4 linked regions of the Styela clava genome follow. The main gene of each other region encodes a partner of the protein of the gene in region 4 in a complex. Links are inferred from orthologs where the notes say so. Each region holds a gene or a part of one and is shown on either strand. Other genes may lie near its edges.

Evidence for each region.
Region 1: the proteins of DNA repair protein REV1-like (region 4) and DNA polymerase eta-like are in contact, whole or in part, in an NMR structure (PDB 2LSK), measured with the Homo sapiens proteins. The link is inferred for Styela clava from reciprocal best matches to the Homo sapiens genes REV1 and POLH. Residues at the interface, in NP_057400.1 of Homo sapiens: Asn1158, Leu1159, Ala1160, Gly1161, Leu1171, Leu1172, Trp1175, Ile1179, Asp1181, Pro1182, Met1183, Glu1185, Asp1186, Gln1189, Val1190; in NP_006493.1 of Homo sapiens: Thr528, Glu529, Pro530, Phe531, Phe532, Lys533, Lys535, Ser536, Leu539.
Region 2: the proteins of DNA repair protein REV1-like (region 4) and DNA polymerase kappa-like are in contact, whole or in part, in an NMR structure (PDB 2LSI), measured with the Homo sapiens proteins. The link is inferred for Styela clava from reciprocal best matches to the Homo sapiens genes REV1 and POLK. Residues at the interface, in NP_057400.1 of Homo sapiens: Asn1158, Leu1159, Ala1160, Gly1161, Ala1162, Asp1167, Leu1171, Leu1172, Glu1174, Trp1175, Thr1178, Ile1179, Met1183, Glu1185, Asp1186, Gln1189, Val1190; in NP_001374042.1 of Homo sapiens: Lys564, Lys565, Ser566, Phe567, Phe568, Asp569, Lys571, Arg572, Arg575.
Region 3: the proteins of DNA repair protein REV1-like (region 4) and DNA polymerase delta subunit 3-like are in contact, whole or in part, in an NMR structure (PDB 2N1G), measured with the Homo sapiens proteins. The link is inferred for Styela clava from reciprocal best matches to the Homo sapiens genes REV1 and POLD3. Residues at the interface, in NP_057400.1 of Homo sapiens: Asn1158, Leu1159, Ala1160, Gly1161, Leu1171, Leu1172, Glu1174, Trp1175, Ile1179, Met1183, Glu1184, Glu1185, Asp1186, Gln1189, Val1190; in NP_006582.1 of Homo sapiens: Gly232, Asn233, Met234, Met235, Ser236, Asn237, Phe238, Phe239, Gly240, Ala242, Ala243, Met244.

What each region holds. Positions count from the first base shown.
Region 1 is NC_135262.1:4,868,190-4,875,025, forward strand, and holds the start of DNA polymerase eta-like, read right to left. Parts: upstream 3,022-6,836; 5' UTR 2,386-3,021; coding exon 2,117-2,385; intron 1,829-2,116; coding exon 1-1,828. Other genes in the region: testis-specific chromodomain protein Y 2-like, read left to right, coding at 3,371-3,394. UniProt on the Homo sapiens protein: DNA polymerase specifically involved in the DNA repair by translesion synthesis (TLS). Due to low processivity on both damaged and normal DNA, cooperates with the heterotetrameric (REV3L, REV7, POLD2 and POLD3) POLZ complex for complete bypass of DNA lesions.
Region 2 is NC_135257.1:17,204,166-17,211,056, forward strand, and holds the start of DNA polymerase kappa-like, read right to left. Parts: upstream 3,021-6,891; 5' UTR 2,937-3,020; coding exon 2,794-2,936; intron 2,407-2,793; coding exon 2,265-2,406; intron 1,486-2,264; coding exon 1,333-1,485; intron 1,029-1,332; coding exon 909-1,028; intron 252-908; coding exon 128-251; intron 1-127. Other genes in the region: telomeric repeat-binding factor 2-interacting protein 1-like, read right to left, coding at 4,092-5,198. UniProt on the Homo sapiens protein: DNA polymerase specifically involved in DNA repair. Plays an important role in translesion synthesis, where the normal high-fidelity DNA polymerases cannot proceed and DNA synthesis stalls.
Region 3 is NC_135257.1:21,470,384-21,478,240, forward strand, and holds DNA polymerase delta subunit 3-like, read left to right. Parts: upstream 1-4,840; 5' UTR 4,841-4,931; coding exon 4,932-4,994; intron 4,995-5,872; coding exon 5,873-7,324; 3' UTR 7,325-7,848; downstream 7,849-7,857. Other genes in the region: transmembrane protein 65-like, read right to left, coding at 693-734, 2,066-2,226, 2,756-3,084. UniProt on the Homo sapiens protein: Accessory component of both the DNA polymerase delta complex and the DNA polymerase zeta complex.
Region 4 is NC_135254.1:14,376,579-14,383,455, forward strand, and holds the start of DNA repair protein REV1-like, read right to left. Parts: upstream 3,024-6,877; 5' UTR 1-3,023. Other genes in the region: mitochondrial pyruvate carrier 2-like, read right to left, coding at 3,024-3,350; sorting nexin-12-like, read right to left, coding at 5,982-6,479. UniProt on the Homo sapiens protein: Deoxycytidyl transferase involved in DNA repair. Transfers a dCMP residue from dCTP to the 3'-end of a DNA primer in a template-dependent reaction.

The sequences.
Region 1 (6,836 bases), on a different chromosome or scaffold from region 4:
TTTGCTAGAAAGTGGACTAGGACCAGAGCTTTTACGTTTTTTGTGTAAAGTTTGGGGCGATATATACGATGTTTCAGGAGAATTTTGAGAACTAGGTATAAAATTAGAAATAAGTCTTTGACCTTTGTCACCATGTTTTGATGAACCTTGCTGATATTGGGACGAAGTCAGCGGTGAGGATGAAATAACAGAAGATGTGATTTTATACGACTTTGAAATTTCTTGTTGAATATCCAAAGGAAGATGCTGAAAAACGTCTTTGTCTATTTCCCCAAATAAAGGATGAAAAACTGGCCCATCTGGTAGAGTATATGAAACTGCAGCTTTCTCTGTCAAATTTTCTTTTTCTTTTAAGAACATTTTATCAATTTTGCAAACGGTGCCATTCTTTTGTACAGTTTTTTTAACAGATTCAAAAAATGATTTCTTTGGTGAAATAGATTTTTGTTTCTGGCTCGACTGATCAACAAAGAAAACGTCATCACGTTTTGTGGGTGTGGACTGAGATGAATTCTGCGTCAACTTGTTGAAAGAACTGTTCATATTTGAAATACAATTATCTTTCGATTTCTCACTAAAAAACTTATCAATTTTCTGGCTTCCAGTTTCAATCAATTTTACATCTTGATTTTCAGGTTTTTCCAGGCACTGGTTTTGAGAGGCGAACAATTCATTTTGGACTTCTTCAGGTTCAGTTTGTGCTACTGACTGTAATTCAGAAGTTGAAGGTTTCTCAGTAGGTATTTGCACAGTATCTATAATAGATGGTTGCTTCATTTTAGAAGTATGTTTCAGAATTGAAGACCCTCCAATGACAGAGTCAAACTTTTTTGCATTCACACTCAAGTTGTTGAGCGCAGGCAGCCATCTTTTATCGCTTGAAGATGTTGTATCTAAAGCCCTAATAAGTTGAAGACATTGCCGGTGTAAATCGTTTCGATCATAGCTTGACAACGGTCCCGATCGGGACAGGGTTTGTCCAGTTTCTAGTCCAACATGAACAGTCAATGTTCTTGCTATTCTATTATTTGCAGCTTTATCCTTTTCGAGCCTTTCAGACAGTTCAACTAGCAATGCATCAAGCCATTTATTGACTTTTTCTTTTGTGTTTAACATTTCTGGACCATTGAAATTTCTTCCACAACCAATAGATTGTGCCACATGCCTTTCTTTCACAGGTTCAGGGTCTATACCTTGACAAACCTCATGAAGCCAATAAGCATTTTTATGGCCGAACTCCTCAACTAGTTTCTGAATAGGAATTTGTCCCACATCACCGATAAAATTGATACCAAATTTTACCATTAATGATTTTCCTAATTTGCCACCTAAATTTCGAATTTTTCCAATTTTTACCGAACTGAAAAGTGAAGTAATTGATTCTTTCGGTAAAATAGTCTGTTTATTTGGCTTGTGAATACCACATGCAAGTTTTGATAACATTTTATTATGGGAAACACCAGCTGAACAACGAAAACCAGTTTGGTGATAAACAGCGGCCCTGATTTCCTCAGTGATGGCCCCGGCTATCACCAATCGTATATTCTCATTGATTGAAGATTCAGATGAAATTAGACCTAACCATTCTTCCAACCCCCCAAACCTCGCAGCCTCTTTTTCTTCATTTTCTTTATACTCAACAGGCCATCCAACAATATGAGTGTTGAGTAGTCTATGAGTAGACAAATAATCTCCCTCTCTTTTTTGAGAAATTATTTTATCAACGACATCTGTGAGGTCGATATAAGCTTCATCAATGCTTGCTCGTTCTACTCGACCGCCAAACTGTGACAATACATTGATCACTTCTGCACCGGCTTCTCTGTACCTTTAAAAGGATGAAAAGCATAAGATTTTTCATATTAGCTCAGAGGGAGAGGAAAGTTGATGGAGGGAAAACCAAAAGTCGGTTGCCAGTCTAGGTCAAGTATTGAAATAGGTTACTAACTTTACTTTGATATTACCGTACATATTAATTAATAATGTATTATATTGAAAAAAGAAAATTTAGAAAAAGCAGTTATTTCGATCATTTTACAGTTTTAACACTTGAAAATAGAAGCCAGAAATCAATATTTTATCATTACATAATGTTTTTATTATAAAAGTGAAATACCTGTCTAAATTTGCTTTTCCATTTGCTTCTGGCACTCGACAGAGATTAATTTCAGGGCATTGTTCTTTGGCATCATCTCCCATCATTCCACGAGTCACTCCAGCAGCTCGAGCTTCATAACCAACAGCAATGATTCCTCCACCACGATACGTTCTATATTGCACAACAGCACAAGGCTTCCCTTTTAAACTTGGATCTCGTCTTTGTTCAACTTGAACATAAAAACAGTCCATGTCAACTAAAACAATCACTCTATTGAATGCCGACATTGTGACAATTATACAACCTATCACATCTGATAAACAGCAGACTTACAAATGTGTTGTGTTCCAAAACTACTGTAGAAGTTAATTTTAAGTAGCTGGAATATTAAAATTAACTCCACAAATCCAAGACAATACACTGCCACTAGCAACAGCTTTTTTTTTAAATCTAAACATGTAAAAACAAGAATTTAAGTTAGAAAATACCAAAACAGTTATAGTATGAGATCGAAAACAAACAATGTTACGCCCACTAGAAGTACCGTACCTATGTTAGGTGTGTATCACAATTATAAAATATTTTTTATACAAAAGCATGCATGTTTAGACCTTTTTGAATAAAATAGTAAGGATATTTCCAAAGCATTCCTTTAATTTTACATTCAGACTAAACATTACGTAATTCTCATTACTGCGGTAATCTACTTAGGCTACTATTTCCAAAATAATTCTACATAATCATGAGTGAAAATCAATTGTTTACAATCTTCAACAACATTTATGTTGCACACAACACATAAGGTTTTGCTGCCAATCTGTGATGCCATATGAAAAATTTCCAAACATGATACAATTGCAACTTAAATCCGGGCAAAACACATGTGAGACTCTTTTGTACGACCAGAAAACGGGACCGCGGGAGCTGGCGGAAAATATAAAACCCCCGCAAACTTATTTGCATAAATTGCAACACTCACGCTCCATTGGCCACTGAAAATAGAGGACTTTTGGATCCATATTCGTTCGTTTTGTGAGATTTAAAAATAAACGAAAAAAAACAAATATATGAATTAATATTTTTCCACAAATTTTGTTAAAATTTAAACTCGAAATGATACATTTTTAATTTGATTTAAGATGTCAAAGAGCCATAAATATCGCGGTATATTCGCGAGCCACTAGTTCGCGCTAGACAGCTTATGGGAAATTTTACTCGAGTCGCGGAAGTCAAAAGCTAGCTGTTCTGTCTGTGTAGGACTCGGCTTTCAACATGCCTAGGGATTCGTTTTTTGAGGTAAGTGGAATAGAAACAATATTTTTATATTCAATAGTTATTTTTCTATCTATTTTGTGTGACATGTTAATTCATTTTGGGCAAAATATCGTTTAATTCAACATGTAAAGCCGTGATTTCGGTGTTGCCCGAAGGGCCCACGCCCAAAGCCTGGATTGACTGTCGTTTTATGCGCCAAAATTTAGGAGTTTTGCAGAAAAGGTACGAGGAAGGTAGGTTGTTTTGTGTTTGTAACTAAACTTTGGACTATATACTTCACAATGTGGTTTATTACTGTACCTATTATGCTTGAAACGCTCGTGTATGTGTTGTCTTATTAGGCTACGTTCACCATGTCGTTAGGATATATCAGTTGGAATGCTTTTACAACATTGAAAGATGATACATTTATGATGCCTACTATGGATAACACAATGTCAAATATTACCAAGCACAAAAAGACAGGCATAAGTAGATATTTATCAGAAACTGTCTGAACCAATTCATGTTTGTACACGTTAATATGCCAAGTCATGGACGATTTTGAAATGAGTTTAGATGAAAGGCTGGTGTGTTGATAACACTCGCATGAAAGATTGCGATACGATAAGAACAAAATCAGAGATTTAGCTGAAGACAACAGACGTGCATCACAGACCAACAGCTTCCTAATTGCTGAATTGACGGTCAAATCTTTCTATTCTTATTATATTTCACATTCTACCGAAATTTTCAATACAGCGGACATACAGGTTTCGTAAGAAATTTTGTTCAGATCTAGCTAAACAATCGGAAAATAAACTAAAAAGGCTCGAGGGACTTTTCGTCGCTGCACCCCTTCGTATCATGTATATCGGAGACGAGTTCCAATCCGTGATCAGTTACGATTACTAGAACTATTTTTGCCGGAAATAGACTCTTCAAGTCCCGGCTATACAATCGGGGCCGTACTTCGGCGAAAAGTGAAATCGTCATTCTGTTGCACCGCGTAGGTTCCGTGGTTTCCGCACTGGATGACTGTGCGTCAACATCGTTATACTTCCCCGCCATATCCAGACTCGACGGCGCGCAAGGAGATGTTTGCCGTCGCATCGTTTACTATCCTGCTTGTTCCGAAAGTGGTCTTCTATGCGAGAAGATTGCTGGACTCCTCCCAGGCGATAGTTGTTTACGGCTAACTTGTGCGGCGCCGTAGTCTCATATTCATCAGTCTGCTTTTTCGGTTGTTCTCCGCGCAATAATTATCCATGACAATTCCCAAGCTTGCATTCTAAGCCCGTGTATATGGAACGTGTAATTGGTGAGTATTTCCCTTCCTGGTTGACGTGATCAGTCATACGAATGATCTTTCGTCTCCTAAATGTAAACATAGGATTTTGAGAGGAAGTATAGAAAATCATTACCAAGTCCCTACAATATTCCCATTTAACCGGAAGCATAACTCACCAAAACAATTTCATTTTTCGTGTTATTATGATGCACATTGTAAATTATAGATATAATGGCGTGCTCTCAATGTTCCGTCGGTAAATCCTCGATAGTCCACATAGTTTTCACCTACATATGACGAACTGTGTGGGTGCGCTATTATTAGAACCTAATTTTCACCGTAGTCGACTTAGTTTTAGCCAACATATGACGAACTGTGGGGTGTCACAGGAAGTCGTATATTTTGTTTTAAAGATATATATATCAAAAATAGTTGAGACTTGTTTATTGCTATACCTTAAACGTATATGTGAAGACAATTCCGTAGCTCTTGCGTTTCACTCTATTGAAGTTATAAGTATATGTTGTATTTCGTTATGAGCCTTATTCATTCCATCAAAAACCTTCACTTTTTCCCGCCCTTCAAAAATAAAATGTCATTTGTATCAGTATAATAAATCACTGCAATGGTGTAGCGTGAGGAAAAACAAGAATCATTTATTAAAAAAGGCAAATTACTAATAAACAAGTGAGCGAGGATCAAAAATATAGACATGAATGCAAAAACAAAGTAGTACGAGTATGCAATCTGTCACAGTAGGCTGCATGTATTTCCTTCTTCACGACTAACAAGAAAGGGAAACCGCCACAAGGTGCACAATTTTGGATGAATCGTCATCGCACACAAAAAAGAATCTCATAAAGCCTACATAAATTTTTGAAATTAATAAAAGTAATAGTCTTCCAGCGAAAAATACAATCTTTAATCCCTGAAATTTCAAAGCAATTGGTTTAATAGTTAATGAGAAAAGCGATTTGTTCATGACGATAGGAAAAAAGATATCAACGAGAACAACAACGTAATAACAGAACGATCCATATGTACATTTCGTGTCCAATAAGATATACATTTAATTTATCGGAGAAACATGCACAATGCGAAACAACTATACACATGAAAGTTTGAAAAGCTATAGTACGGGTTTAAAACTGATTGAAATATGTTTGACAATTTACTCTAAAGCTATTCTTAATACTAAATAAATAGCAATCTTCAACTTGCTTTCGCATTCACAAAAGCATATTTGCAGTCGTACACCTCGCAATTATTCATAACGAAAATTTTCGCTTGAGGATTTTCATTAGTAGAAAAATTACTTTCAGCACTGTTTAATAAAAAAGAAGATGCTCCTCCCGAATAGAACAAACACTCCCTATTTTGGAGTGCGGACGACGAAGTGAATATTGTTCTACATAAATAAATAAATGAATAGAAGCATGGTTAGAAGGGATAAGTAATTTCAAAAAACACAACGCGTTGTTTTTCATATCTATCTACCGAGATACGACTTGGCATCAAATGGGGCAGTTCAGATCAAAGAGCACTTGACTAATTCATTCATCTCAACATTCTCCATAATTCCATATTATTCCATGCATCTGGATTCATACATCGCATGGTTTTGCAATGAATTATTTGCACGCTGTTCTCATTGATGAACAAGGGTTACTTATAGTAGTTACGAGAGTTGCATCAAAATCTCTCGAAGAAAACTTCTTTGTTCAAATTCCGGTCCTAACTTCTGTCGTATAGGATGATAGTATTGTTCGATTATCTTCTTTGCTGTGAACTTCTTGCGTTATTATTTGATTCAACATTTTTAAATGAACAATCAGATGCTGCCTTCTATTCTTACAGCGAAAAATTTTAAATTCTAAGAGAAAATATTCGACAAACTTGAATCTCAACTTATATGCTTGTAATTCATCGAATTTTCTTTCACGGCAATTGCGTGATACAGACACACTGATACACACCATAAAGCGATGTACACGAATTACGTTGTACTGTATCAACTGTGCTTTCGGGATTTTGTGCCTGGACTCCACACGGTATGCAATGAATAAATTCGCATGTTGCTTTCATCGAATATGAGATAATTTGATGAACAAGAGTGGAGGAGTCCGGAGTGTTGCAGCAAAATCTCTCGAAGGCAAACTTGTTTATTCATTTGCTGATTTCGACTGCTTTCGT
Region 2 (6,891 bases), on a different chromosome or scaffold from region 4:
TGTAATTACTTTCAATAACAATGTGATACATAAATAATAAATAAAAACATATATTTCTCATCAAAATTGTAAGCGTAATAAAATATCCTAAAAATAAACATCCAACAATATTGAATTCATATTGTACTTGCCATAGAAGTTGATTTCTTTGTTTTCAAATATGATGTTATATCAAGATACGCTTCATCCAAACCCATTGGTGAAAAGTTTGAATCATATTCCGCAAGAATTTCACGAACTTGAGCACTTACCTTGAACAAACAAAATGAACAAAAAGAAATTGAAAAAATTGAAAAATGAACACAAAATTCTCACAGCTAAAATGTCTATGCAAAGTTGCAAGGAAATACAAATAACTGATATAAATTGACTTGAAATTTTCTGACCAGAGATCCTATCTAAGTTATCTGAAACCTGTGGGCCTGATATAATATTTCAGTTGCAATAGAAAAAAGTTCAAGCATACACTGAAAAGTTCTGATAGGTGTTTTCCTGGGCATAGATTTGTGCCTTTTACGTAACAATTGAAATTTTAGCAGACTCTCAGACTTTTCACTCAGGTGGATTTGGGGCATGTGTGTATACAGTAGCCTACTTCATTCATTCCGTAAGTGCTTGCCAGAAGGTCATATAAATTATGGAAGTTTTCTTTATAAGAGTGGGTGGAGGGCCACACACGACTCACATTTTCAAGGTTTTGCTAGATATTTGTCAGTTTTTAGACTTGTTTTATATGAACCTCAATATTTGTTAGCCTCAACTCGCGAAAACACTTTTGAAAAAATAATCCTCTAAAATTTTGCAATGGTAGAGCACAGAGAGAATTTTTCTGGGGTTGAGGGTCGGGAAAAGGTTCATAGAAAGGTCCTTCTAACAACAAATGAATTGAAACAAAATATTCTTCATACTTCTCTGTATTTGCCAAAATTGAGTGGAACAAGAATCAGCTCAGGACACAATTTCTTTGCTATAAAACCTGGCATTGCAGCTCTTACGCCATATCTTCTAGCAATGTAGTTGGAGGTTGACTGAAATCAATATCATCAATAGTAATATAGATAATAAATCATTAATTATAATTAATTCTAAAAAAACTTACATAAGATAGAAATTTGATATTTTTATAAGTTGTATGGAGGGCGAAGGCTTTATTTTGTGGTGAACAACAGCAGATATGTGCATAGAAAATTAACGAGTTATTATTTCAGATGCAAAAGCTCGAATGGGAGGAAGGCTCTCTTGTAATCAATTACCAAGAGAATTTGAACCATCGAACACAGGCAGAATGGAGGGTGCAGTATGAAGCATATTTTAAATAATCAATACACTTACAAGCATATCTGAGCCTCCCACTGCCATTGGCTTATTTTTTAATTCCGGATTGTCTCTTTCCTCAACAGAAGCATAAAATGCATCCATATCAATGTGCACTATTGTTCGTGATAAATCTCTGGATGATTCAAGTTCTTTCAAAATAACATTTGTCTAAAATATATTAATAAGATATTATCTCAATTCTCAATATAGAATCTTGAAACAGAGCGAAGTCCCTAAAATAACTAAATCATGTGATGAACCATGATCAAGCATCTATTTCTCACAACAAGAATCAAGGAAAAGTGATCAGTTTAATGATCCTGATCCTCAAACAGGTGGAGAAAGCAGTAACAACTGATAAGTGTTTCAAAAATGTTGTGTCACATTTGTCCAACTGTACTATTGCATGCTAAGAAATACCTATTGTGGAAAAAATGGTAAAGTATGCATAATATGAGGTGGAATTCATGCTATGTACCGGGTTAGGGTAGATTAATGCTTTGGAACTTGGCCGAATGCTATATTGAACCATTTGAAAATGATATTCATATGAGTGGGACATGTGGTGGGATAAGTGTGACTAATTAGGACAAATATGGGGCACCACATTTTTGAGACACCCACAATTGATTGTGTAAATGGCTTTAAGAATACTATTATCGTAGTTATTTTACACTTATAATCAAGCTTATTTAAATAAGCATTTAAATTTGTGATATATGCAAAAATACAATTGAATAATAGGCTAGTTAAGTTACAAAGAGAACTGATTTAATATAAACAAAAAAATTTATTATCTGAGAGACTGAGACTCTCTTCAAATGCATGTAAAATTGTTTGAATTAAATTCTCTTAGCGCCACTCAAAATAAATTATTATTCAACTTTGTGAATAATGATGTTTTATGTTCTACGAATCGGATAACAATTGTATGCATGAATGCATACTCTGCATAAAGATGTTTCCATTTGCTCAGGAGTGAGTTTTTCAACTTGTTCCAACATCTTCTGAATTCTTGCATCAACCTGAGCATCCTTTTTTCTCTCATTTTCGTAAAACTTTGAACCAACTGAATTTTCATGAATAATCCTAAACAGGAATGTTGATAAGATGTTAAAAAATACCGGTAATCATTTTATTACAAATATGTTCTCTAAATCATTGATATCCATTGAAGAATAATTTCCAGTAGTGGTATACAGCTGCATTCGTTTCGAAGTTTGTTAATGTTGCATGGATGAATGATTCTATTAGGACTTGGTTCACATGATTCTCATGGGAAAAATTGAAATGGTAGAAAATGTGTGATCGTATAAACTCAGTAGTTCTCTCTATATCCATGGCTACTTTTGTAGAGCCTTGCTTGGAGTAAAAAATGTATGAATACGCCATATGAAAACATCCAATTTACATTGTAACTCATGCATAAAAGATAAATTGATATTAAAATATAAGAAACTCATATTGCACACTGACTTGTTGATTTTCTCCTTGTCAAGACCTTTCATGCCAGCTTTATTGTCATTCAATGCCATTCGAGACAAAACTGCAGTATTTTTATTTCTTTCAAATCCATCTTCATCATTCACATCATTTTCAGAACTAATTGCCGAATTCATTTTAATAGCCTAAGCAATAGAATGACTGTAAATCTAAAACTAAAAAAATAAATGTGGTTATTAACAGGAAGTTAGGTAACAAAGTTAACCCGCATTAAAAATTTAAATATATGCCTAATCATTTCCAATATTCATTCGTATTTTTTGATGGTTTAGACCAGCATTTCCCAAACTTTTTCGGCCACGGAACACTTAGACTTTTTATCTCGCCTCGCAGAACACCAAAAAATGGAAAGCTAAAATTGATAAAGAAAAACGGTGTAATGTAGCGGTTCCCAATGGGTTCGCTAGTATATATTTATGGTTAAACCGTAAATATGTTAAATCGTAAATATATACTACTATGGTTAAACCGTAAATATGATTGAATATTTTACATATTACATTTATTATAAATGTTTTATTGTTTTCTAATTAGAATGCTGTGTATATGAATCAATAAATTCACCAATTCACAATTTTTTACCTGTCTATGTCGTTTACTTTCCATCACGTAGTGTTTGCCTCCAATGTTACCTCTAATGGAGATAAAAGTACTTGCTGCAATTTCGCGAACTGCAGTTTATTTATCTGCTGAATTGAATTTAGCGAACATAAGTAATTTTTCAGCATTTCATAGTAAAGCCAGGCAGAGACGGAGGAAGAAGAGTTGACCCTTGGCCTTTATTCTTTAGACCCACTTGTTTGCTTATAACAAAACCAAAAGGATTGCTGTACTTAACAGTCAAAAAGCTACGCCGACAGTTAACGAAAATGTCACTCCTCTACCTTAGTTAGTCCGCTTTAGGCCAACGATGACGCGAAATTGAACGGTCAGATGGGCAACAACTTCACGATCCCTAGATCGCAATGGCGACATTTTTGATTCCTTCTCCACAGAACGCTCGCGGAACACAGTTTGGGAAACGCTGGTTTAGATCAATGACATCTATGTAAATAAAAGGCCTCTGTGAGGATGTCAGATTAGGAAATTCTTAACAATATCAAATTTTTTAAAAGTTTGAAACGACTTAGGTAGTATTTAGTGCAAATGATTGTGTTTCAATTGAACTTAATAACTTTTTCTGTAATGATATATAAACAATAAATTACAAATCCAAGTACAATAAACTACAATTTAGAATCATAACAAACAATATAACAACAGTGAATTGGTCAGTTATTCTCATCCATTTTGGCATTCTTTAATGGAATACTTTGCATATAATTGAAATCATTTCTAGAAACACCAAGAAGAGCTGCAGCACGGTCTGTCACGGGTCGTTCACCATAAATTTTAGCAAGTTTTCTTGCAGGCTCTTCGTCACAAGTTGTTGGATTTAATAAACATTTCAAAAGAATTTTATCTTCAGAGTCTGTGAAAAGATGGAACCCTTCAGGTACCTCTCCCTGATATATGTAATATTTGGCAATATCCTCATTGCCGTTACATTTAAACAACACTTTATAAATTGATTTTGAGTCCAATTTTGTAACTTTTTGCATAGATTTCACAAAGTCATTTATTAATACATAATATTCTTTTTGTGATAGTCCAGGAGATAAACTATTCCTTCTGCTTTCGATTTCAGCTAAAAATGATCCCGGTCTCTTTTCTTCGAGATCCGATGTTGTAACAATATCAAGTTGAGCAGGAATTGATGTTGATTTAGCACTCGTACCAGGCATTGTAGTATTTCTATTCTGAGGAGGTGTGGGTAATGGACCCAAAACCCTGCCCTCTAGTGGATATGAAGATTCACGTCCTTTTAAATGTTTTAAATATCTATCTCTCAGTGATTGCCAGGACCGTCCTTTCAGTTGGAACATATTTTGTTTCTCAAGTTTTTTCCAAAATTCATTTCCTGATAATTTACGTTTATCTTTCAGCTTGGAATCTCGAACATAGAGTAAAATATTGATATCTTCTGTTTTTGTATAAGTCATTCGTCCTTCAGCATCGTTGCCATTGACATTGTAATTACTAGGTCGACAATGATATCTCTCCTGTGGCATAAGGCTTCCGCTGTTCGCAGAATCAAGAATATATCTTGCAGATATTGTATTTTCCTTCCAACTGACTTCTCCATCAGGTAGAAGGAATATGGCATTATCTCGATAACCAAAAGGTACTTTTTCTATGTATGGAAAACACAAACCACCGCCCTGAATAATGTGTTTCTTGACTTCTGCTTTTATTGAACATGGTCTAATAACAAACACCATAGGTGTCTCGTCTTCATTTTGAAATAATCCACTATTATCGTCATGAGTAGAAACCATTACGAAAACTGAACATAAATTTAAATCTGTTCATAAGTGAAACAAGAGAGTAATGCTACCAGTATACAAAGCTTGCTATAAAGATGGATGAATGAGCAACAAAGGGGTGGTCGTCAACGTCAAGTAATAAAAAGCGTCCAACTGAACTTCAAAAAAATTTGAAACTATATGGCTAGCAACTGCTTTCACGTTTCCATACAGAAGATTTGAAATTGATCTGTTCAACAGATGCAGAGATAAGAGCTTTGTACCTTGACAATCAGCCCAACAACAACTACGATAATAACAGCAACAATAATTTAGCAAGCCATGAACAATTCATTAGGTTGACAATCGTATACAATACATTTCATTTCCATTTCAATTATAGCTATTGAGAATGATTAGTGTAATGACTAATGACGAATAGTAGTCTCTATTTATCCAGTTCTTAATTTTATAATTGCATGTTTATCATTTGCAAATATAACTGATATCCTTATACAATGTAGCCTATATCTTATGGAAAAATTACATGGATTCATCAACATAAATACAAAAATATACCTACAGGAGTACAGGTAATTACACAATCGAGCTAATTTAGCAAACAGTGAATATTTTTCAATAGGATTTAGAAACTAAGAATAGAAAAAAGACGAAAGCAATAATAACTTTATCACACACTTTATGCTAGCATACTTCTTTTACCTATTACATTGATAAAGAATATGGTTCAAGAGTTTTTTTCTAAATTGACCAAGCATGAATGATTTATATACAGATATAACAGTTATTTCATACAGTTGAAATATTTATAATTTGTTCGCAGAAAATTGGGAATGGGAAAAACTATTTTTCATTCTATTCTTCATATTGTTGATAATACAGTAGTATTTATATTTGTCACATGACTACACAAAATAAAATCATTGCACTGGTACATCAGAATTTAAAAAAATTCTCCATTTATCCAGATATCATGGTAGGCCTATCAAATAATAAAGAAAAAATGTAACGATTTGCATAAGCATACAAACAATTATAATGTTAATCTTTCATTCAATAATCATTATTATATACATTCCATTCATATTTAGAAAAATTTATATAATGAGGTACGGTATTTTATGTAGAAAAAAAAGAAAAAATTACCTTAGTTCAGAGTTTCTTTGTAGCCAAAATTTATATCTCACTAATAATAGCAAGAAAAAACACAATAATTTGATAGTAACCTATTGAACTCTCTTCTCGTAACAATGGCATGTAATAGCCTAGATCAGGGTGGTCCAAACCCAGGCCCGCTGGCCACATGTGGCCCGCAGCGTCATTATCTGTGGCCCGCGTCGCCTTTGCTGAAGGGTAATCAAAAAATCGCATTTGGTGTTGTTTCGCCATAAAATTAATCAGGAAATCTTTTCGACATCACTAATGTCACTAAATAGACTAGTGTCACGGCTAGCTAAAAAACCAACTAGCGAGTGTGCTTGGGTGCTCCAAATTGTTCACTGGCTTTCTATCTTTTTGGTTGGTAATATTATTATATTCTAACAGTTATAATAACTAAACATTAATGTTGTGGCCTGAGAATATAATTGCTTCCGGTGATTTTTTGCAACCAGCCTAAACAGTATTAGCTACAAAAAATTCTTCCAATTTGTCAGAAAAATTGTTAATTACTCTCCTGTACCTTACATTTGATAAAAAAAACTAA
Region 3 (7,857 bases), on a different chromosome or scaffold from region 4:
TCGAATGACAAGAAAACTTAACGTCCCGACTAAGCTCATGCTATATTTAGCCAGGCACAATATAAAGCAGTGGTTCTTAAAATTGATTGACCCAAAATTAGAAGCGAAAGGATATTCGCGGGCCGAATAAAGAGCACACACCCTCAAACTGCGATAATGACATAACAATTGGCGGTATTTGGTATGTAAAATCATTTCACGAGGCCCACGGAACGCGGTTTGGGAACCACTGCTATAAGATATCATTTTCATCCCAAGGGAGAGGAAAGTCGATAAGACGTCTTACTCATACGCCAACCTTTATTCAGAAATCAAAAGCTGTAGTCAACAATCTTCAGGACTAGCAGTAGTCATAACAGTTGTTATTGCATTAAGACAGACCACATCATGCATAATTTATGGTGTGGCATCTAACTAATGGCCTATTTGTGATGCCACAACATTGAACTAATGCAATTGGATCATCCTAATGGAATGGGACATAATGGACTTTTGTGAAGAACAGGATAAAAATCGAGGGTTTGAATCCCATAAAGGTGGGCCATTTCATCTTAGTGCAATAAACAGGTGAACGAAAAATTTTGAAACATTATTAAACATGAATTTTTATAAATCCGAAGTCCGAAATTTTTGTTTTTTTCAGCTTTTCTCGAGTCTCTAAAAGACACACATGTAAAGGTAAAATTACTCACCAAGATATAACTGTCGCTTGGTGATCTGTCCTGAGTCCTCACCTGGAAATAATATATACATTTACACTTTATAGCATCAAGCTTAAAATCACAAATTGAAAGTCAAATATAGGTTTCCCTAATTCTGCCTTCTTGGAAATGGGAGACGTTCCTTCCCAATCAAGCATTTTATTGTTTGCACTGTATTACGTTTCAGAATTACGGGTTCCCTACGTAATAGAAATAAAATGTGACTTCATCAACTTTACATTACCAGGAAATTTTTTTTAATATATGAACATTTAATCATGGAAATAATATAATTAGGCATTCAAGGAATTATATGGATAAACCTAATGATATCCAATGAATTCTACAGCTAAGTGTGAAAGCTAGCAAGACTTTTATTTTTGATGATTTCAGAGAGAAAAAAGAATAAAGCAGTAAAAATCTTTTCGATTGTTTCTTTATACAGAAATTTTCTTCAAGGTAATGTGAATGCAGTAAGACTACATAAAACTACATGGAATTAATGTGGTCCAATACACACACTCACTCAGAATTAAAAGAGACTCATGGTCAGTGAAATGCTGTGAACTATTGAAACTATATAGAATTATGGTGATTAATTAAACATTAGTAAATACTGATTTGGTGGAGTATACTTAGAAGAAAAGCTCTTGAAAGCCATTCAGACGTAAAAGAGACAGAGTTAAACATATGTTTCCTTATTGTCAGAATACTGTATGGCACCCTTGGCATTTCAGGGATGACCCATGTGCCCTTTATAAAAAATTCCAAGATAGGCAGAGTTAGTTGGTAGATCCTACATCACCAGCATCCATTGCTATGCAAAGCTTAAAATATTCAATTCTTAAAGTTGAGTCAAATGCTTCCTATGATGTGCTATGACCCTATCATCAGAATAACCATCAGGCTCAACTCATTTGCCTTTTGATTCGTTGCTCAGAGATGAGCATATTCTTCATAAAGTTCAAAACCCCATAGAAAATAGAAGAGTGAATTCCTACATGCTACATCAAGGCTTCCCAAACTGGGGGTCGTGACCCTGCAGATGGGGGGCAACGAATTATAAAGGTCGCAAAGAGTACACCAATCTCACACAAAGTGCTTTATCTCTTGTACTTTTTTAGACTTTCGAATCGAAACACAACTAGAGCAAAACATAAATCTCACAATTTCGAGATAATACATTGGAGAAGCGGCACGCTTGCATGGAAATACCGACTTAACAGGAGTCGCGGAAATTTTTTCAATATGGAAGGGGTCTCGAGCTTAAAACTTTGGGAAGCCCTGTGCTACATCACCAGCCACCGTGCAGAGCTCAAAATGTTTTAAATATTAATAAAACATTTACTAAGCTAGAAGCTCACCATGCTGTTCAGAGTTAGTATTTATACCAATAGAAGATTCTAAAGCAGCGAGTAAAAACCGGCGTTCCTCTTCTTTAAGATGGGACACGAACGTTTCAGCGTTCTCTGGTGATCGAATGTATTGCTTCAAAGTATAGTATAGCTTCGTTCGACTTGAATGTCTAAAAAGTGGATGAATTCCTTAAACTGAAAATTAGGATAAAATTTTTTACCCCAGGAGAAAAGCCGATAAAAAAGGCTTAATCATATGACGAACCACGGCCTCTCTTGGTTGAGGAAGCTGAAACCGACCAGTGGTTGCCTATATCACTCTGCGACAGGAAGAGTCCAGCAAGTCTGAAAAAATGAACTGATTTTGATACTCCCAATTTAGACAAGATGCCACGATTTGTCGTATGATTGAACCCTCAAATTGGCATTCCTTTTCCAAGATAAATAGGAATAGACGCTAACAATAATAGACGCTAACAATGCTCCCCAGCGAAATGACAAAAAAAGTGTATCCATTATGTTTTCTCACCTATAACCTAAGCGAGATACTTTCTGTCTCATGTTTTGAAATAATTTTTCAAAATTCAAAAATATTTTATATCTTGATCCTGTGTGTAGTCATTTTTTGTGCCATACCAGAGTTCAAAATAAATTATCTTATCTTATCTAAGTTTTTAACTATTGAATATATTATCTCACCCTTTTTCTGCATAGTATTGAGCTTTTTTGCTTGATCGTTTTGAAGAGGCATCCCTTCTTTGTGAGGTAATAATTGATGGAAATCGGCTCTTAACATCAGTGGAAAAGCAACATAAGAATGAAGTCCTTTGTGCATAGTTTTCAAAAAGTTTTTGAGAAAAATATGAAGTTTGTGTTCTTCTTTTTTGAATAAAATTTAAATCAGTTCTGGTTGGCAAGTTACATTTCATGTGATAGTTTGAAATACATCCCAGTGTGGAAGTATTATGATGTAACACTCTTGAGGTTTGCAGCATGTTACCCACTCTTTGGCAAATATTCCAGTTCATCTCAAATGCAGACGCTCCAAAACGTTTTTGAAGCTTGCAGGTTTTATATCCTCGTTATTGCAGTTTTAACAGCTTCTAACTGTTTCCACTGCTATAAAACACTTAATTCAGAAGAATGGAAATAAAGAAACAATATTGAAAGGCTGATGAATTATCTATGATGAATTTGAACTGACTTGAGTAATCAACAACTTCAATTATATTTCCTAGTCTAAAATCCATGACTTTCAATAAGGAAACCTTGCTTGAACCTTTAGGAAGCTAGACTATATATTCTCATAACATATTTTCTACTACCTGGCGCGGCGGTGTGGCTCAGCGGGCTAAGCGTTAGGAATACGCTCGCCACCGCACCTCTTATTACTCTGCGTGGGTTCGCAGGTTCGAATCCCATGCAGGGATGATTATGTGCGAGAGGATTGCTGGACTCCTCGCCGTCGTTGAGTGGTTCACGTCACCGCTGGTCGGTTACGGCTTCCTCGACCACCAAGTCCATGCTTCCGAAAACAAACAATATAACTAATCCCATACCCGACTTGGAATGGTGACCGGACGAGAGGCCGTGGTTCGCCATATGGATAAGCCGTCTTATCGGCTTTCCTCTCCCCCGGGATAAATATGTAAATCCTATCCTACCTACAGTACCATACTGCCGTAGTTCATTTTAATTAAAATTAATTATAAGTTACTGATTATAATATTTGATAAAATCCTGGACTCTAATTTGCCTATATTTTGGCTTTTGTGAGTGAAGTGGTCTAGCCCCCCCCCCCCCCCCTCCATCAATTTAACTTCCGATTGGACGATTTGGCATCAGCCTAATGCCATTACCATTAAGAGACTCTAACTATACTCAGATTAGCGTTATCTTTTTAGAAATACGAAAAATAACAAATTTGGTTTTTGCAGATTTCCTGCATTTATATCCCTTATAAATTCGCGGCCTTCCAACTGCCTCCATCCGTTAAAAGCAAGGAATGAAAGGATTGTAAATTCAAAGACTAAAACTCTGATACGGACGGAAACTACCGACGAATACAGGAAGACGAAGGAGAGGAAAACCATTTTTTTTAAGATTCGCAGAAGAATAAACATTTGCTCATTTTTACCCCTGCAATATGGTGCGATTGCTCCCTAGCGCAAGCTTGCGATAACATTTTATAAAACTAATACCGACGAACGTTGGTTAATTAAAACGGTTACAACGTGAGGTATACTTAAGTTTAAGCTTAACTCGATGTAGATCTTACGCTTCATGTAAGAACTGACGAGGATTATGCGGGGTAAAGTAGCCATAAACATTATTTTTTCCGAGCATTCCGTGTTCACTGTCACATTTCTTCGGTGAACAAGCCTTTCGAGAACACAAGTAAAACCGCTGTATTCAGGCGAAAAATGAGGGTAGAAATCACGATATAGATGCAACGGTTAAATTAATTTATCATAACACGGAATACCGTGTGGCAATTCGATATAAGTTTAATTAAAATGAAAAGAACATTTTGTTCACTTTTACCCTGCAATTTACCATATTAGCTCTATATCGCCATCTCCCGAATCTAAAACTTGAATGATTTATTAAAAATGGAAGACGACCAAAACAAAATTGAATATACATTTTTATATTAAAATAATAAGTTGATTAATATTTTAAATTAAATCAAGCTTTCATTACTACAAAACGTTTCAAACCTATCTTGTGACAATTTTATTACGCATGACCAACGCGTCAATCATTAATTTTCGCGCTGTTTCCTAATTCTACATTTTAATAATACCGGTATTGCACTTTGCAGTTCAACAAAATTTTGCCCTGTAATTTTTGTTTATATGTTATTTCTTGAAGTATGGATGAGTTGGATGCATTTCTGGCGACTGTGGACGAATTCGTAGATGACGAAAATCGAATCGTAAGTTTGGGGTTTTTGTTTTTCCAATTTACTTTTCATGTTTCCTGTCTCTGCAGCTCTGGGACACAGAGATCAGGAGATGAAATTTTACATATTTGAGGATAACAGGGCTTGATTATATTGCAAGCCAGGTCTCTCATCTCCTTATTCAGTCAAGTCCGAGTAGGTGAAAAGTTATCATATGCATTTAGTAGTTCAGTAGACAGGCCTTGCTGTCTTGGTAATGACAGAAAATAGAAATATTGTGGCTAAATCGAAAATCTTGTGCATAGAAAGGTTGAACGAAGTATCATATATCCAAGGTCAGAAGGTTTTTTGGGTCTCGTGTAGTTTCGTACCTAACGTACTTCTAGTGGGCGTAGCATAACAATTTTTTGATATGTCAATCCTAGCCCTCGTCTGATTAAGCCATCCAAAGATTAAATCACTACGACATCACAATGACGTCATAGAGCTTGCCAAATATACGCACGATGGACCGAAATGGCATTGGCGCCGACGATAAAGAACTGACTGACGTTATCGGTCTCTCTCCTATAGGAATCGTTTCAACGAGAAAATGAGAGAAATAACTGTTCGATTTCGGGTGCTCATTTGTACGTCTTGGATGGCAGTTCGTATAGTTTGAAGGGCTGTATTACGTCACTGTGACGTAATTTTTGGATGGTGTAGTCAGGTGGGGGATAGTATTGATACGTGAAAAAAATCGTCATGCTAAGCCCACTAGAAGTATGTTAGGTAAGAAACTACATTAGACCCGGTTTTTTAACCTTATTATTTCATTTACTCCTTTGCAAATTTTAAAAATGGGAATTTTCCTCAAATTTCAATATTTTCAATTCCATACCTATTCAACAACTATTCTTTTTCCCTTCCAGGTCACTTATAAATGGCTGAGCGAACAACTCGCTATTCCAACCAACAAAGCAAAAAGTCTTCTTCAGAATTACGCTGACTCATGCAAGAAACAAAACAATGGAATTCACATTGTTTATGCAATAATAGGACATGACTCAGCTGGAATAAGTGTAAAGGTCGTTCGAGATGTCGATCTTGACTCAGCGAAATCAAAAATGGATAAAGTTTATAGTGTTTCGTTATATAGCGTGCAAAAAATGAAACTTCAACACAGTGCTGTGCTGTATTCCACTGATTATGACACTCATCGTAAAAATCTGAGCGGAATTTCGAAATTTGGGGGTATAACGTACAACGGTGCAAAGTGCTTATCAAAGAATGAAGTTAAACAACAAAAACAAACACCAGGTGGTGCTAAAGAGATTTCTGCGGATCTTCAAAAACAATTTGCGAAACCAGCATTTGAAAAAGGGAAACCTGTGCAGCAGAAAGTCAATTTTTTTACAAAAACGAAAACATCACCCCCACAAAAGAAAGTTAAAGAGGAAATAGCATCGAAAAGCGACGCTGAACCCCAAAAATTGAACTCTAATAAAAAACCTGATCCCCCATTGGAAAAGGGGCAGAAAAAGGGCGTGGCTGCGTTTTTAACAAAAAATAAAACCGATCCGTTTGCAAAAAGTAAGACTGTAAAACCGGTGATAAAAGAAGAACAGAAAACAGTGTCCGATAAGAGTGAAAAACAGCCTTCAAAAAGGGACAGTACAACTGAAAAGTCACCTCAAAAAGATAAGACAAAAGAATCATTGAAAACAGAGAAAAAAAATAAAAAATCGTCATCGAAACGTTCAGTTGAAGAAGATGACCTAAGAATTGATGATTTTTCGGATGACGAGGATGATTTTATTGAAACTGATAAAAAATCTGTAAAAAGTTTGAAAAAAGTCGCTGATAAATCAACAAAACCTAAACCTGTTGAAAAACCGAAGCCGAATAAAAACAAAAAAAATTCGCGGCATGATTCGAACGAGCTTCCAGCGAAGAAACGACGCAGAATTCAGGAAATGTTATCTTCTAGTAGTGAGGATGAAAACGAAGATGAAAATTACGAGGAAGAGATGGGAATTCCCCCTCCTTCACCCCCACCTGTGATTGAACCCGAACCTGTGAAAGAAAAATTTGTTGAAGAAGTCAAAACTAATAAACGGAGGGAAAAAGTCATGAAAAGTCGAACATTTGTTGATGAAGAAGGGTGTATGGTAACACAAAAGTATTATGAATTTGAAGAATGCGATGATGCAGAACCTGTTGCTAATGGTAACAATGATCAAGCGGAACAAAACCACAAAAACAATACTGCAAATGGTGACACAGAAGCAAAAACGAAAAAATTTCCAGCGATATCTACTGCAGCTCAACCAAAAAAACAACAGAAACAAGCATCAATTATGGGGTTTTTCAAGAAAAAATAACTCTTTATTCAAATTTTGTCATAAATAGTGGGAAATATTTATAGCATTGTACATGCTACATGCACTGCTTTTTCAAGAACTTAAAACTTGAACGGGAGGCTGTGCAACTTGAGATGGGTTAATTAGTGCTGTCCAAAATAGAATCTTTTTTTGCCTCATTTTACCGATTTGCGAATTAGCCGCAAAACAATTTGAATAATTTGCGATTAGATTTCGAATATTCTGTTCGCTTAGACATCCCTAGTTATAATATAAGATAATACAAGATGACTAAACAAACAGAACCCAAGGTCATTTGTAACATGGAGAGAATATAACTTTTGTGCCAAGCGTCCTTGATTACGGAAACTCATTGGGGACAATCATACACAAACAGAAGTTCAAGTGTTCCATAAATTTCGTTGAAGTAACTAATAATTTTATGGGTCCTGTTTTTTTTTGAGAGAGATTAAGAGCGACTTAGTATCAGATAATGGATTTTTCTATGAAGCTGTTTTACATTAAACGATGACATCCTTTAAAAACCATGTGAC
Region 4 (6,877 bases):
CCTAATTCTGATTCATGAGCAATATATACATCACAAAAAGGACAATGAAATGATATTTTGCTATTAGGTGAACATTCATTATTGTTATTTTCATGGGTGAACGTGATCCTCTTTTTATTATTTGTACCTGTTTTATTACCATGCTTGTTTCTCATATGCCTTCGTAAATTAGTTTTTCTATTTACTTTCAAATCACACAGCGGACATTGAAACGGTTTTGCACCAGAGTGTATAAGAAAATGGCGTTCTAAATCTGTCTTCAAATTGAATGTTTTTTCACATACACTGCAACGATAGTGTACTGTTTTTAAGCCGTTTGATGACAAACTAATATCTTTGAAAATAACCAAGGAATCTTTGCCTAACTCCATTGTCTCTTGTTTATGATTAAGAAGATTGTGCTCTCGGAATTCCTTTTTACGTTCAAATGTTATATCACATTCTTTGCATTCGAAGCCTTTGTTTTTCAATTTTTTATTTCTCACTTCATAATGTTTTTGCAGAAATTTTTTATGGCTATACATGCCAAATTCTGTATAATATTCATCTTTCTGCTTTTCAGTATGTTCCAACATATGACAAGCTAATTCAATAGTACTTGTAAACTTTTTTTCGCAGTCAACACATCGTAATATTTTCAATAGACCACTGCTTTTATCTTCTAAATTTTTACCAATAGTTTTATCCATGAAATATGAATTATCGAAAGACTACCAAGTACCAACTGATAAATATATTACACACATAAATATTTCGTCAAAGCTAGCCTAGTAACTGGAAGAAAACAAATTTCGAATAAATAGAATCATTTCAGCAAAAACAGCTTCTTCTCTTCATGCATTTAGTCTAATACAAATCTTAAACATGTCTTTGCTCATATTACATTACATGTATGTTTATTGAAAAACAATAATAGGCTACAGTAATAGAATACAGTAATACACACAGTATATGCATGAGAAAAATGAGACACTCTTCTACAATATTTCGACAGCCTCTGATATATATATATATATATATATATATATATATATATCGATATTATAAAACTTGTGTATCTTTAAAATGTTACAATAGAAATGACAACAAAAAGTTAATGTAGACACAAATAGAAGTATTGTCAGCATATTTGGATTACAAATATTAGAGTTGGTACATACCAGGAAACTTTATTTTCAAATCATATAATATTAAAAAATGATTTTTGATATCGTACTATCTACGGAGCGCACTTAATTCAGACTGGTGGCTAATTTCAAGACAAAAAAGGACAGTTTTTCAAACAATTTTCATACAAAATATTCATTGCGAAATTCCTGTTATTAGAAGATTTACAATACAGAATATTTGAGACTTGAATGAACTCGTCATCTGAATCAAATACAGATTTCAGAAAAAAAAAAGAGTTACAGTATATTGATAGTTGATATTGATGAGATTACTACTAATTCTTGCCCCAAAACAGTAATTAATTCAGTGAAAGATGCATATTTTGCCTCTCAATTAAAATATCACAAGTTTTTCGTGAGCACACCAGTCAGAATCAGGTTTAGCTAGTTAGTATTATTGCAGAAGCATGAATAACCAGTAGCGAAGAAAAAGGAGTTTTAGTAGTTCACAGATTTAGGGCAATATAAGCTTGGAACTTCTCCGACTATAACCCACAATGAGTAAAACAGTGACCACCAGATCAAAAACACTGGAACAGATTTTGCTCTGTATCAACATTTCAAAGGTGATAAACAGAGGGAGACATTTTAATGATTGTCTTCAATGACTGAGGAAATTCCAACTCATTGAGTACAAAAGAACTGTATCTCAGATGAAATGAGGACTCACGATCATTTTTATTTCAAGGTATTCTTGTACTTGTTTGTGAGCTTACTAAATTGAATTATTTTATTATAAAAAACAGTACAGGAATATCCAGAGCGTTGCTTAGAATGCCACTTATGATGATAGCGAAAAAAAATGATTTACATCCCAATTTTAAGGTTAAATTCTCTAACTATATAAAGTTTTTATATTGTCGTTGTCGACTAAAAATAACAAGGTAGTTGTTTTAACCCAGCAATGAATAATATGATAAGAATGCAAAAGACCTAAATAATTTTGCTACAAAATTTTGTATTAAACGAGTTTAATAAAACATTGTAAATAGTACCGGTATATAACATTTGTTGATAAAATAGCAGCTTAAATACAACAAACCTGACAAGAAATCAGGTTGAACTAAGATTTAAAATAATTTTTTCAAAATAAAGTTTTCTAATACCAAGTGTCATTTTTTTTTACAGTGTCTCTTTAGAAGTTTTGCTAGGAATATATAAATAAACATGGATAGAGATAATGTTAATTTCAAATTCCTATGTTGTAAAATATATACTTTTAAATTACTATTATAAAGGGCCCGAATAAAACACCAGTAAATATTCAATAAAAAAGCAAACTTTCAAAATTCCTATTAGCATGTGTACATAGCAGATAACTTTTAAACACACAAAACAAACAACCGGATTGCAGTTGCAGTCATGATAAACAGCAGACTTGACTGCTGCTTTTTAATCCGCCTCAGTATTATATTATACAATCCTCCTAAGAAAAAAATGATTCAAAGATTTGATTAAATGATGCCAAAAACAGAATACGTTCTCAAATATTCCTATTGGAATATGCTTTAACGTTACTGCATAGTCCTGAAGCATGACCTTCATAAATCATAATGCACAAATGTTCGGACAAATACGAATTTGATGTTTTTTTCACAGTTGAAGAAAGTGAATTGAATAGTATTACATGTTTTCTAATTTAATTAGTTTAAATTAATATGAATATTCTATTCAATATGGAACTTTTTCCAAATGATTATACACTGCGAATTTCAGATTTCAATTTGTAGAAATGCACAGAACTAAAGTTATCATAGCTGTATAACAAAACTGGTGGTATTGATAATTATTAACACATAATGCAAAAATATATAGGTGAGTATAAGGTTTTATATTCGTTTTGCTCCGACTAAATTACTCTTCCTTTACTGATTCATCTTGTTCTTTTAAGCTTTGTCTGTATTTTACAACTCTGTAAACTTGTGATGTACCAGTAATTCCGAGCCCGACATTTACAGAAAAAAGAAGCCAGTTCTTAGGAATAATAACCAATGAATATCTCGACCATATGAATCCTGTAGCCATTAATGAAACTGATTGGTTAAGACTTAGTTTATCTGGGGGCCTAAAATAGTCAGATAGTCCAGCGATAACGAGTGCCCATTTAAATCCTGGAGCCCAGAAATGTATTGTTTTTAATCCAGCAGGGTGGTTCCATCGTTCTTTCATTTTTGCAGACATTCTACTTTGCAGTCTGTTGTCCAGTCGAACCAATGCATGGCGTATACTCATATTTTTATCAACGCCTTATATAAAAGTATCATAGATAATAATCTTAATAATAACAATTTAATCAGTCATTAGTTAACGGCATGAAATAGAATTACAAAGATATATATATATATTATATATAATAATACACTATAGATTTGTTAAATGACTGGTGAGAGAAGCCGGGATACCAAATTGCAACATCAATACAAAGGATGCTGATCATAAAAATGGGAATCCAGAGATATCTTGAGTCAATATGGGTATAACCAAATGATAAATGAAATATTTTATTTTAATAGGAACAGTATGATGATATGAGAATAATGGGGCTATTTCAGACTTTCAAACTAAGTCAATTTTATGAATGGAATTTATATTATATCGTCTAGTGAAGCTGTCAAATTTATGTTTTATTAAGTAAATTTTGTTTCAGCGTAATATAGCACCACACTTGCATATGTACCTTAAAATAGGTTGGGATGATAACATGAACAAGATGCGTTTATTCTGTCCATTGAGAAAGCCTATTTGGTTAAGATGGGTCAATCTATCATGACAGAATTCTAATTTCATATGCAGCTGTGGGACTGTATTACACTAAGCTACAAAATTTGATGCAAATATTCTATTTTTCAAATTCTGAATACATTTAAAAAATTTGGAAAATATGAGTATAAAGAATTAAAAAAAAATTGTTATCAATGAAAAATTGGAGCCATTTTGGCAATTTAAAACATGGGTCATAACCATAAAGAAAAAAAATGCAATCAGGTAGGAATAGAGAAACCAAAAAATCACTATGATTAGCCTTCTAAGAAACATACGATACAAGCGAAGCGAAATTTGAACATATTCGGAGCATGCTTTTAGTCATTTAAATATTTACTGAGATTCAGGAAAACTACTTTGCTTATGTTGAAGTTTGGGAAAACGAGTAGAAGCATTTATTATTTGGAATAAAATTCTGCTCTTATTGCTCTGGAGGTCCTGAATGAAGCACATGAAAGCTCCTTTGTATGTCAAGTCAAAAATTAATCTGGGATTACTGAAATCTGTGGGTTCAAATATAAATAGTTTGGCATACGACAACTCAACACAAAATCTTGCTCGGTGAATTTCTTTTTTTAAATTCATGTGAAACGCAAAGTCAGTTTTGGCTCACTTGTTCAAAAGCTCGACACAATTGAAGTCCTAAAACACGGTGCATAAAATGCTCATTTCAAATTATGGTCCATTCAAGCCTCTTACGAAGAAACCGCATAAAATTGAAATATTATACAAATTATTATGTTTATCAAATGCAGACAAGACAAAATATATGACAATAATTGCAATTCTATGGACAGAACCCAAATCCCAAAATTCTGTGATGCCGTTTGAATAGATAACAGATATGTAATTTTTATAACAAATACTGAGTCCAAATAAATTGAGTCAATTTGTAAAACTAATTTCTCTGTTCAAAACTTGTATAATTTTTAACCATAGACCAAAACTTATTATCACAATTCTTTATCAAAATTTACCACATTTCAACATATCAATATTTAAATAATAACAATAAACAATAGCAGAAATTGAAAATGTAATAAGTTGAATGGAAGCACGAGTCTCCCTTTATGAAGTATTAGCACATATTAATATTTGAGAACACCAATGAATATGCATGTGTATGAACTATGAAAAAACAACTGGTATCTTGTTATCAGCTGGGGGAGAGTTTCTTTTTACATATTGAAACTTTTTCTATTTCAAAATGTGGTTAAATGAACTGAAAATATTCTTAGAACAGGGGCTATTAATATAGACATTTTTTTCGAATAATGAAATAGGACAGTGTCTAGGTCAACAATGGCCAAATCCTATATTTTACGCCAAACCAAATTCCAGACAAAACAAATCAGGAGATACATGGTAACAGCTGTTTGTTTTCAATCAAAAATCGAATACAGATTATTGACAACTCCTTTAAATACATTTACAACATTAAAGAATCATTTTAGTAATTTAAAATAAATCATCGGGACCAAAATCATTATACACTGTGTTATTTTATCTCATATTGCACATGAATGACATAATTACAATTTTTTCCATGTTGTGATTTTCTTCGTTAAACATAAAGCTAAAATACTCAATACCTTTGATTGATGAGCAGATTTATATTAAATACCGAAACCTGAAATTCTGTTATTTATTAATGATGAAAAACGATCATCACCGGTAATATATTCCATGTATCCGAATCTTTTAATATTGTTTGAAGGAGGCTTTTGAAGTTTTATACCAAATTGTTCTTAAATTTATTTTAGCTATGGTGAATTCACGAATATTCATGGAATATGAAGTATTTATAGAGATCCGGAATATCACTGCAGTAAAGTAATAGTATATTCAAACAGATAATTAATTGTTCGTTTAATCAGATTCAGAGATTATACACAAAAAATATCGAGATTTGACTATTTTCGCAATCACAGGGGCAATGGGAATCATACACACGATCACAAAGCAAGTTTGATGATAATCGACCTGCCAAGTAGGCTATGAAGTTTGCCTAATAAGATTGTCCGAATCACTGTACGAGTACATCTTCATTCAAGCATTTCGTACCTTCCCTGGCACATAATTTTTATCAATGGTTTCATTCTGTAGAAACATATGGAGGCAAATTTCATTTTGCGCCAAAGGATGTCCTGCTACTTTGTTAATGAATGATTCCAACTTCTTCCTTCGATCTTCAATAAAATCTTCTTCGAACAAACCTTCGTCGCTTCTAAATGGTAAAAGTCGTTTCAAGGCTTTTCCAGGAAGAGGTGGCACCACAATTTTGCTATCTCTTTCTAATTCTGAACGTAACCACTCAAAATCACTGTATCTTCGACGAACTGTCGAGTCTTTAACCTTGAAAACCGGTAAATTCGTCTTCATTTTTACTTCATAATCAGTGTATTGGCTCTTTGGCCAACCGCCACCTATATGTGTCTCCGGATTCAGCACTTCTATTTCAAGAAAATTAGCAGGTAGACTGTAAGCATCGCTAAGATCTTGACGCGGGGCATCCAACCTTTTCGTGTTTAAATCATCCGTGGCCATTCTATTGTTAGTCTAAATATTACACACGTGAAAACCCGCGAACTGGTCTTAAAATCCCTAGAAAAAAAGACAGTTTTAAGGATTGACCGTGCGATAGCAAGCAAATAAAAGTGAGAGCACCGTCTGTGGTGAGAAGTGAAGAGTTAACGCGACTCTCTATCGCCCTGCGGAAGACCATCGCTTGGATGATTCCTGTTACCATGGTGCTAGACGACAACTGAGATATTTTTTGACCAGGTAGAACCGATTTTTAGATATTTATCCATGTTTCTATTATATACCGGTATATCCTAATTTAATAACAGTTACATACGTAGAAGATCATTCATAAATAGGAGTTATTATCGTGTAATTGGAAAATAATGTCGCAGGGGGAGATTGAATTGCATTTAACGTTA